Drosophila melanogaster: one gene and its partner. The protein of the gene in region 1 interacts with the protein of each later gene in a biochemical or structural test. Each region holds a gene or a part of one and is shown in the gene's direction. Other genes may lie near its edges.

Region 1 (4,975 bases):
GCTGGGAATTCGACGAAGACGACTCTAGGGTGATCTGCTGCGTGGGCGGTGAGTGAGACTGGGTCATATGGTCCTCGAGTTCCCTCACCGGGTCATTTTTGGGTAGCAGCATACTGAGTTGCGAATCGCTTTCCCTGAAGAGTAAAAAGTTATCAATATATGATTATGTTAAAATAAACAAAACCTCTCTTACAGCGTCTTTTGTTGTATGTACTTCTGAAGGAAACTGAGCGAATTATAGTGCTTCCAACGCGATGTGGCATCTATGTGCATCAGTGTCCTCAATCGCTTGTGTTCGCGTGCGTATTGGTCCCTTAAAGCCTTCCACTTCAGTCGACACTGTTTCACTAAAATAGTTAATGCTTGAAAAATCATCTTCATCCTTCGGCTGTTTAAGTTTATCAACCACATACCCGACTTCTTTAGTTTTCTGGCGATTTCCTCCCACACCTCCATCTTGAGCTTGGCATTGCGATAGTTCTCGTTGCCGTAGTTGTAGATCATGTCTTCCTGCTGGATCAGCGTGATCAGTTCCTTTTCGAAGTAGCTCTCCATGTTGAGAAATGTGTGTATGGGATCGTCGTCCTCCTCCTCGGCGTTCGTCGATTGATTGTGCGCTGCTGAAGTGGTGGATACATTAGACGTGATTGTTGCTGCCGAGCTCGACTGATTGGCGGCATTGACGCAGTCCACTATTTCGTTGTAGAGAGTGTCTACCACCGTGGTTGTGTTGGCGGTTCCACACTGCACTATGATTGATGGAGTAGCACCGCCTCCCGCATCCGTCAGATAGTTCCAGTTCGCTTCCGGCTGCGAGTGCATTTGTTGCTGATGCTGCTGTTGCTGCTGCTGCTGCTGCAGCACGGCTCCAATATGGCTTGCCAAGAAAGTGGCTGCCGGCTTCTTATCAGTTGAACTAGGCGAACTGAAGCTGCAGCTGTCGAGCAGCGTGGATGCACTGGCATCCTCAATTTTAATGCTGCCGGAAAGGTTTAGATTCTGGCTACTGCTGTTGCTGCTGAAGGAAGTAGTCATGGGCAGCGATAAGGGGGTCACCGTACCCACGGCGCCATTGGAAGTCTGACCAGATCTCCCTCTGTAACTAAAGAATTGTGGGTTTAATTAAATACGGACATATCATTTGGAAGCCTGAAGAACAGAACTAGTGATAGATAGCTCCATATGCTGTATAGTCTGCATTGGCAGTCAGCATGGCGGTGCCAACTTGAATTGCTCCACGTGCTACTTACTTTCTTGCCAGCGCATATGGACGCAGGAAATCCAGCTCTTTGAAATACTTCCACTTCACTGCTTTTGAGCAGGCCTTGGCGCGCTTCAGCTCCCGGCAGTACTGATCCCTCATGGCCTTCCACTTGGACTTGCACTGGACGTCTGTGGAAATGGGATTAAGTGCCAACTTTTTGGTGGGGAAACTTAAACGTTCACTTACCGGACCAACCCACATTGCTGCCAATCTCCAGCCATTTCTCGTCCTTGATCTTGGTGCTGCGGTAGTGGGGATGCTTGGGATTGTATAGCGACTGCTCCTGGGAGACCAGCGAAATGAGGATCAGCTCCTTGGGAATGCTGACCACATTCTCACCCAGACTAGGATCTATGCTGAGATTCACGTGCTGCTGCTGCGGCTGCTGGTGCTCCTGCAGCTGGTTGGCACATGGCAGCGTCTCCATGGCGCTCCCTACTTGGTGTCCATGCTGGCGGTGTGTTAATATGGGCAATTGTTATAAATAAAAACAGGGAAAACAAAAATGAGGTGACCGAACAGCTGATCCTGGAGAGTTGTGTAATTAGAGGGACCAGTTTCGCCTTGGCTATACAAGCATCTTTTTTACATTGAGTGGAACATCTGGTGGCCACCGACCTGGTCACCCTGAACAGTCCAGTGCTGCAAGAGGCGCACACCATTTCGATAAGTTGGCAGCCCGCTCATATGTTCGATTTTAAAATTTTGGCGCCAAAAAATCGTCTTTCTATACATTTGTATTTAACGGCTAATCCAATTAGCTAATTGCATTACCGCTAAGGAAAAAAGAAAACATCATAACATTCAGGCAAAACAAATTGTTTAACTCTCAGTTTATTGTGCGACGCAGTGCGGTTCAAAACTAGAAACTTTCTTCTGGCAAATATTGCAGCCGTCCTTATATAATTAATGCTCCATAATGCCGAAAATTGACCCAGAAACACAAAAACTCTACGACGAAATCAATGGCATGATACAGAAGTTTAAGGTGAATTAAATAAACTCAACGTACAGCGAAGTAAATTAAAAATATCAGATAATAAATATAGCAACAACAAAAGTAACATAAAAAAGTTTTCCCCATATAAAATAACAATACTCTAAAAATACCGATAGCCAGCTTAAAAAGAAATTCGTTGTCCTTAATTTAATTTTAACAAAAAAATATTAATATAACTTTTTGGAATATGTATGATAATATGATTGGGTTTTAAATATCTTGCCAGATTTCATACTTCAGTGCTAACTACTCCCATAATATTTCATCTCGATAATAGTCGAACACATTATTTCCAATTTTGAAAAAATTAAGTGACTTAACTTAATCGAAAACTGTATGCGTCTCTAACATTTATTCTGGAAATTCTTGTAATAAAAATTGTCATTCATTACTATGATTTTGCTTTCAGGATGACCAAAAAAGCAAGGCTGATTGCACGTTGGCCGATAAATGCGGCGACATGGGGGATGTGCCCAAGATTCGATTCTCATCCAAGAAGATTCTCAAGGGCCACATCAACAAGGTGAATTCGGTGCATTTTGCCGGGGACTCGCGGCACTGCGTCACTGGATCGCTGGACGGCAAGCTGATCATCTGGGACACCTGGACCGCCAACAAGGTGCAGATCATCCCCTTGAGATCCGCCTGGGTAATGACGGTGGCCTTTTCGCCGTCGGGTAACTTTGTGGCCTGCGGAGGAATGGACAACCAGTGCACCGTCTACGATGTGAACAATCGCGATGCCTCCGGAGTGGCCAAGATGGTCAAAGAGCTGATGGGCTACGAGGGATTCCTCAGCTCCTGTCGCTTCCTCGACGATGGCCATCTGATCACCGGCTCGGGAGATATGAAAATGTAGGGCTTTGCTTAACTTTTTGGAGTAAAATCTAAGTTTCCTATGACCAACAGATGCCATTGGGATCTGGAGAAGGGTGTCAAGACAATGGATTTCAATGGACACGCTGGTGATATCGCTGGCTTATCGCTTTCGCCAGATATGAAGACCTATATCACTGGCTCTGTGGACAAAACTGCCAAGTTGTGGGATGTGCGAGAGGAGGGCCACAAGCAGATGTTCTTCGGTCACGACATGGACGTGTCATCCGTCTGCGTGAGTACACATATATGTTTTAATAATAATAGCTTATATTAATTACCAAGAACAACTATAAGCAGCTAATCTATTTAGTACTTGTAATTTAATACAAATGTATTCATTACACCCACCCAATTATCATTATCGGTTGCAGTACCATCCCAGTGGCTTCGGGTTCGCCTCCTGCTCGGAGGACCAAACGGCGCGCATGTACGACCTGCGGGCGGACCAGCAAATCGCCCAGTATGAACCGCCCCAGAAGAACACTGGCTTCACGTCGTGCGGTGGGTTCTCGTTCTCCGTCTTGGTGGAACACGGTCGCCTTGACTTTTGACGGGTTTTTAATCTGATTTTGTGTCCCCACCAGCTCTATCGACCAGCGGGCGCTACCTCATGTGCGGCGGCATTGAGGGCAACGTGCACTCGTGGGACACGATGAAGCAGCGGCACACGGGTGGGTATTGGGAATTGGGTAGTTCGTATTGGGTATTGGATATCCATTGCACTTGGGGGATTCGGTGATAAAGAACGGGGAAATGGAGGCGAAGCTAATGCTCAGGCTGGCACTTGACTTACATCGATTTGCTGACCTTCTTCTCCACTTTCTACTTTCTACTTACCATTTGTCACTTTCCATTCCTCCACAGGCACACTGTCTGGTCACGAGAACCGCATCACTTGCATCAGCCTGTGCCCCAATGGCATGTGCCTGGCGTCCACCAGTTGGGATCAGCAAGTGCGTCTGTGGCTCTAATCTGTGCCTCTGATCTGGGTTCAGTGTCGTCCAAAGGCGAAGACAACGTTTATGCGTGCAGTTTGCTTGCAAATTACGTATACGTAATATCCATAGCCTGCAAGTAATAAGGATAGTTCTCAGTGCAGACTAACAATATTAATACAATATTAAATCTATTGTTAAACTTGCGAACATAAGAATAGCTTGCCCCCTTTAAGTGCTAATTTGCAAGCAAAACGTGCGTATGAATATTATTATAATAATTGAATACTTGATTACCTAGAGAAAGTAGCCTCCAATAACAAGCAAGTGCCAATTGGATGTGCGAAATAAAATGTATGAATAGTACAACAAAGTAACACGTCTCCTCCATTAAAACTCCATTGCAACTTAATTTTTTTTATATATTTTTTATATTTTTCTTATAAAAAATACTTATACAATTACGAAGATATTTTTGCTGCTGCGATTTTTGGCGCTTGGTTTTGTTTGTTTGTGGAAATTGTCTTTGAGCTGGTCAAAGAGGCAGCTAGGTAAATTAAAACAAATCACTTTTGAAATCAACAGAGAGATAAAGATACAGGTTCAGATACAGAATAGTCGAAAGTATACAGATAGATAGAAGATAGATAGAAAGAGAGAGAGAGAGAGAGAGAGAGATAGAAATGAAAGTCGCATAAATAACAGATGGATAGAGATAGCTTAGGATCACACAGGAAGCAGGATGCAACGATTTGAGTATTCTGTAGATGGATCAGCATAGATCAGCTGGTACAGTTTGTTTAGTTTATCAGACTCTCGGTGGAACTACTGTGAGTTGTTCTCCTGTTTGGGTAGATGGAAGGATAGCGACGACGGGACGGCCTTAAACGGAGAAGC
Region 2 (5,283 bases), on another chromosome or scaffold:
CTCATCCCTGATGGTGGCAATGTGACCGCCCAATTGACGACAGGTGTTTGAGGCGCCAAACCAATTTTGTTTGTTTTCCTTCTCAATGTAGAAGCGTCTTGTGCCCATTCTCTGGAAAAGCGCCGGATTAATCCTGTGCGAGATTCGTAGTTTCTCGAGAGTCTCCACACTCTGGTTGCCCATTATGGTCTGCAGCTCGTTCAGTGCGTATGCCAACTTGCTTTGCATGGCCATCAATCGTTCTTCTATCGATCTTTCGATCCTCACTATTTTCTGTTGCATTTCACTTTCCTTCAGCGCAATGAATGTGAACCATTGTTGTTGATTTATAGCCACTTGATCAATTAGCAGCGGATTTTCCGTTTTGTTAGCGAGAACATCACGAGAAGCCCAGGCTAGAATGACGCATATAAAACAATACTTGAACATGTTACTATGTATGACCTGCTAGTCCCAATCCTTAAAACGGACTGTTTCTGGATGTTAACATCTGTATAATGAAATAACAATCCGCATCTAAAAGCATATTAAAGCGTTGAAAACGGTTTACAACGTCTGGCAAATACATAGGTTATTCGTTCTAAGCAGGTGTATAACTAATAAAATTTATTAATACAATTTATGGCTTACCAATTAGGAAAATCTTTCTTGATACCGTACGTTCACCGCACTTTTATGATAGTCGCATAATTTCGGCCTTTTCTTAATTAAGTTGATGGGCTAGAAGTTTTAATTGGCTTGATGCTCGTTCTTGCCTTAAGCCACAAAGTGGATGAACCTAAAGGTGGGTGGGCTCTACCAAACGTCATTACCAATCGATGGCTGTGGGGAAAAGGGATATATCCGAGGCATTCATCCAGACATCTATCTATCCATCCATCCATCTATCCATCCGAGAGCAGATATTTCAGCAGCAGCAACGACAACGAAACTCAATTTGCGCCGGCCAAACGATGCGTTGAGCATATAAAATGCAAAGCGGAAGCGACGTTCATGGATAGATTACACAACTACTTACAAATGTGCGTTTAAGCACCCAACACCCACCACCTACCACCCACAGCCAGCCATATTTCCCATTTCCAACGCTTTTCCTGCGTGTCTGCAACTGTTGCATATTGCAGTGCGTGCGCTGCCTTTATTGTCCCGATGTTAATGGAAACACCTGCTGGCGGCGGAGAAGTCAGCCCCGGAGTCCGTGAACGAGTGCCAGTCATTGTCAGGGGAAATCTGGCCGGGATTGCGGGGTGAGGTTGACTGTGGAGCTGGTGGTGTACAGCCGCCCTTAAGCTGCGTCATCATCTCCATGCCGGATGACAGTAGACGGACCGAGAATGGCATCTTTTGGGAGCGCTTTCAGGTAATGCCGCCGAGAGATCCATTTTACAAAGTGCAGCCAGTAAAAGTGTTTCTGTGTCAGCTGTTGATGGTGCCCAGATGCCCTGCTAATGTAAACGTGCCACGAGGGACACAAATTATAATTATGTTGAACTCTGATACGGCATTAATGGAAGCTCCCATGCATTGATCCACCATTGTATTGATTGCTATCCAATATACCTTATAAGCCCCATTGCAGCCGTATTACTATAATTTATATTGATATTTTACCTTCATGCTTTATAATATTAAAGTTGCTTTGACTTTTCAGCATTTTTACGTTTTTAATTAGAACAGCTAGCACGTATTGAAATTGGAATACCACCACTACGTTTTAGTTTATTGATGTTAGCTTAGAAACTCATAAAAAGCGGAGAAAATGAAACAACATGTGCGTAAAAAAATGAACCCTAGGGAAGTTCTAGAACAGCAACTACCCTACGAAAAACCAAGGCAATCGTAACGAGTTTATGTCCCACCGATATAGTTCCAACCCTCCAGGTTAATGAGCCCCGAGTGGGGGAGCGGTTCAATTGAATTGTGTGCCGTAAGTTGGACAAACCCAATTAAAATTTCGACTGCCCGTTTTTCCGGCGATAAAGAAAGAATAGTGCTGGCCACCCCATTTACAATCCCCTTTGCACAGGTGTTGCACAATTCCACTCGTTCCCGGGCACTCGAAAGTGCACTTTGTACTCACTCAAAATTTACTCCAGTCTGGCGCGTTCCACTTTCACACGTTCCTCGTGGACTCAACGTGCGCCTTGGCATATGCAACGCATTCAGTCGCTTGTGGGAGGCAGTTGCATTCGATTGCCAGCACTTTCATCAGCGGAAAAGCCAGAGAGCAGCTAATAGCCGGACAAAGAGTGAGAAAGCGAGAGCGGAGAGGGAGAGGCAGAACACATTCGCTGGTTGGTCTTGGTCTTGGTACCACTCATTCGACACATTTTCCTTCAGTTTTCCCTCGGCAGCGATACCAGCCGTCGCTTACTTTTTCGTTATTCTGTTATTGCTGGCCTTTGTTTATTAGTGCGTGTCTTCGCTGCGAGCGGTTTTCGTAATTGAAACGAGAGCGACATAATTAAATTAAAATATACTCGCACACAGTAGCGCACTAGCATCGATAGACGGGCCAACTAATCACATTACCAGCCATCAGACATCAAGCCACCAGCCATCAGGCCATCGTCAGTCGGAAACCGAAACGCAGACCCGCAACACAAGACTCACAGTTCGCATTGCATACTTTTTGGCGCGCATCGAAATAAACACACCAATACGTACATCAATACAACACAACAACAACAAACACATTCAGGCTCGATTGCTGCGTGAGTGTGAGTGTGCCTGTGTCTGTGCGAGAGTGCCTTCTAAAGTCGCCCATCCTGCGAAGCGACAAAATTCATCAACTCTTGTGTCTGGTGAGTTGACATAAAAGACAATAGAATTGCTGGCAATAAAAGGCAAAGCTTGAAGCTAACAAGAAAATTCCGGGAAAAGTGCCTCGGGCTGGTGAATGTTTTGGCAATGTTGGTGTGAAAATGTCAGACTAGATCGTGACCTTTAAGCTTCTGATCATTAAAGGGGTTACATATTTTCTGTGAATATGCTTTTAAAAATGATAACTGGTGCGAATAATAATCTGCAAAAGTTTTTGGTCCAAATGTTTTGTAATATAAAGAAAACTTGATGAAATCATGAATATTTAATAATCATCCAATATTCTATAGTGTACTTTAAAATAACGTAAAAACGTAAAATGCGATTACACAAAAATAATAACATTATTCTCATTTTATATTCAGAATTTAATCTCATCATTGACCTACGCCATAAACACTTTTATATCAACTTGTACAAGATATTTTTTGTGGCTGTTTTCCACTTGAGTGGTTTTAAGTATCTGGAATGAGAGTCCCTTTCATCGTAGTTATTAATGCGATAAATTTCACAGAAATGCTATGGTCATCGAATGTCGTGAGCAATTTTATAATTTGGTAAAGTAATGGGATTTTTCGAAATTATGTCATGCTAGTAATGATAGTAATGCTACTCGTATAGTTCAGAAAAGAAGCTTCTAGCAAAGTGGACGTAATGACTCCATTAAAAAAAGTTCTCTATTAAGAGAATGGAATATTCAAACTTTGTGATGGGCCATTTAACCAAACATCCGGGATGTTTGTGTTAACACACAAAAGTTGGTCATATTACTGATGAGGAAAATATATAACGTTTAATGGTCAACGTTAATGGCTTTTCTTTCGCACACATTAAATGCACGATCTTACTTAACGAATAATAGGATTATGATGCAGAAGAAGGAGGATATATTAACCAGAAAATTTCCTTATCGATGTGAAACAAGTGAACCGAAATTTGCATTCATCCGTGGCCCACTGAATGCAATCACTTAGTCGACACCACCCATACCACCCACTTATAATTCCTGCCCATCCCTGACGATCCAAACGCATCTGTGGTTAATGTGCGACAATTGTTCGATTTCGCTGCTGCTGCTGTCTGCAGTTGCAATTTACTGCGCTGTAATTGTTTTACGTGCATGCATTAATTTTTTGAAGAACCACTGCAATTATGGGTCGTTTTTTTTACTTTTATCAATTTAAAAACCATTTTGATTAAACTCCATGTCCTCGTTGGTGTTTGGTTAAATTGAACACATCATTCTTGTTGGCATGCTAAATTGAATGATTGAATTGCATGTGCATTAAATACGTGTTGTTTTACCTCTTTTGAGGGAACTCCTCCTCCAACGACCCATCGAAAATCGACTAAGGCAACGCAATCACATTCGCTAACAATTCGCATTTGTCGCGCCTCAATTATAGTGGAAAATATTTGCATTCCAATGCATGGGAATGGGACGCGTGTGGGGAGAGGGATATTTGCCTACGTGCCATTCGAAGGATTTCCCGACGAGGTCCTTTAGGTAGGGGCTTTGACGTGGGCTTTTCCATTTCGCATTGTCCACGCTTAAGCGCGGAAACGGGAATTATGCATGTTGCATTTAATAATTCATTAAATGAGTGAAAAAAATTAAACACGAATGCGACGTATTCATTTTGGTTGGTTTGGTGTAATGAATGAATAATAATGGCATTTTTTATGCAGCTCGTCCTGCTTGGGGAAATTCATTGAAATGGAATTTGCAAATAGCCAAGCATTAAATAAAAACAATACATTTTTTTCTATTTCTATTTAATTTTAAATGGATTTTTATCTGATAGAACTTAATGCTTCAAAATTTATTGTTCGAACGGCAGTTTCTTCTGTGACGTTCGTATTACACGCTAATAAGAGGAATGTTCACTCTATAAAATTGCCAAGAAAAACGTATACATAATTTAATATAATATTATTTTCTGCTGAGACGGCAGATGGCCACTGGTCGAGCCACAATAATGCATAGATAATGCGCCAGCCGGCAGACTGCGTCTCCAACTAACCTTCCCGATTTTCCATAGCCCCACTGTCGTTGCCCCGAGTGAGCCAGATGAAAAACTGCATTTTCCCGGTTTCCGGCTGCTCCTGCATCAACGAATTATAATTGCAAGGGCTCCACATTCAGCTCCAGCTTGGCCGGCAGTTTGAATAGGAACAGGAATGGAGGCGGGGCTGGTCAGTTTCAGCGTGCGTTTGCAAAAGTCATAAAGAATGCTCCATCCTCACCCGATGTCCTTCTTGCAGGGAATCGCCGACAAGTGCCGGACAAGTTGACGTTTTTGGTCCGCGAGTCCTGCTCCTCAGCCTGTTTTTCAGCCACTATTTTCTCGCCGTAGAAAGTATGTTAATAAAAATTTTAATTTATCGCCAGGCATAAAAAGTGTGCAAAGTGCTGGGTGAGCAGGTCCTTCGCTATCCCTGCCGTTTTCCTTGCTGGAA

What was found.
Region 2: the proteins of Gbeta76C (region 1) and Ggamma30A form a complex in vitro, tested with the Drosophila melanogaster proteins (one study listed by BioGRID).

Annotation. Positions count from the first base shown.
Region 1 is NT_037436.4:19,685,545-19,690,519, forward strand, and holds Gbeta76C (G protein beta subunit 76C), read left to right. Parts: upstream 1-2,092; 5' UTR 2,093-2,183; coding exon 2,184-2,252; intron 2,253-2,673; coding exon 2,674-3,119; intron 3,120-3,173; coding exon 3,174-3,375; intron 3,376-3,514; coding exon 3,515-3,644; intron 3,645-3,727; coding exon 3,728-3,814; intron 3,815-4,007; coding exon 4,008-4,114; 3' UTR 4,115-4,448; downstream 4,449-4,975. Other genes in the region: CG8765 (uncharacterized protein), read right to left, coding at 1-134, 194-347, 414-1,102, 1,251-1,392, 1,451-1,691; verm (vermiform), read right to left, coding at 4,962-4,975. UniProt on the Drosophila melanogaster protein: Guanine nucleotide-binding proteins (G proteins) are involved as a modulator or transducer in various transmembrane signaling systems.
Region 2 is NT_033779.5:9,254,403-9,259,685, forward strand, and holds the start of Ggamma30A (G protein gamma subunit 30A), read left to right. Parts: upstream 1-2,160; 5' UTR 2,161-2,804; intron 2,805-4,865; exon of another isoform or gene 4,866-5,183; intron 5,184-5,283. Other genes in the region: lectin-30A, read right to left, coding at 1-429. UniProt on the Drosophila melanogaster protein: Guanine nucleotide-binding proteins (G proteins) are involved as a modulator or transducer in various transmembrane signaling systems.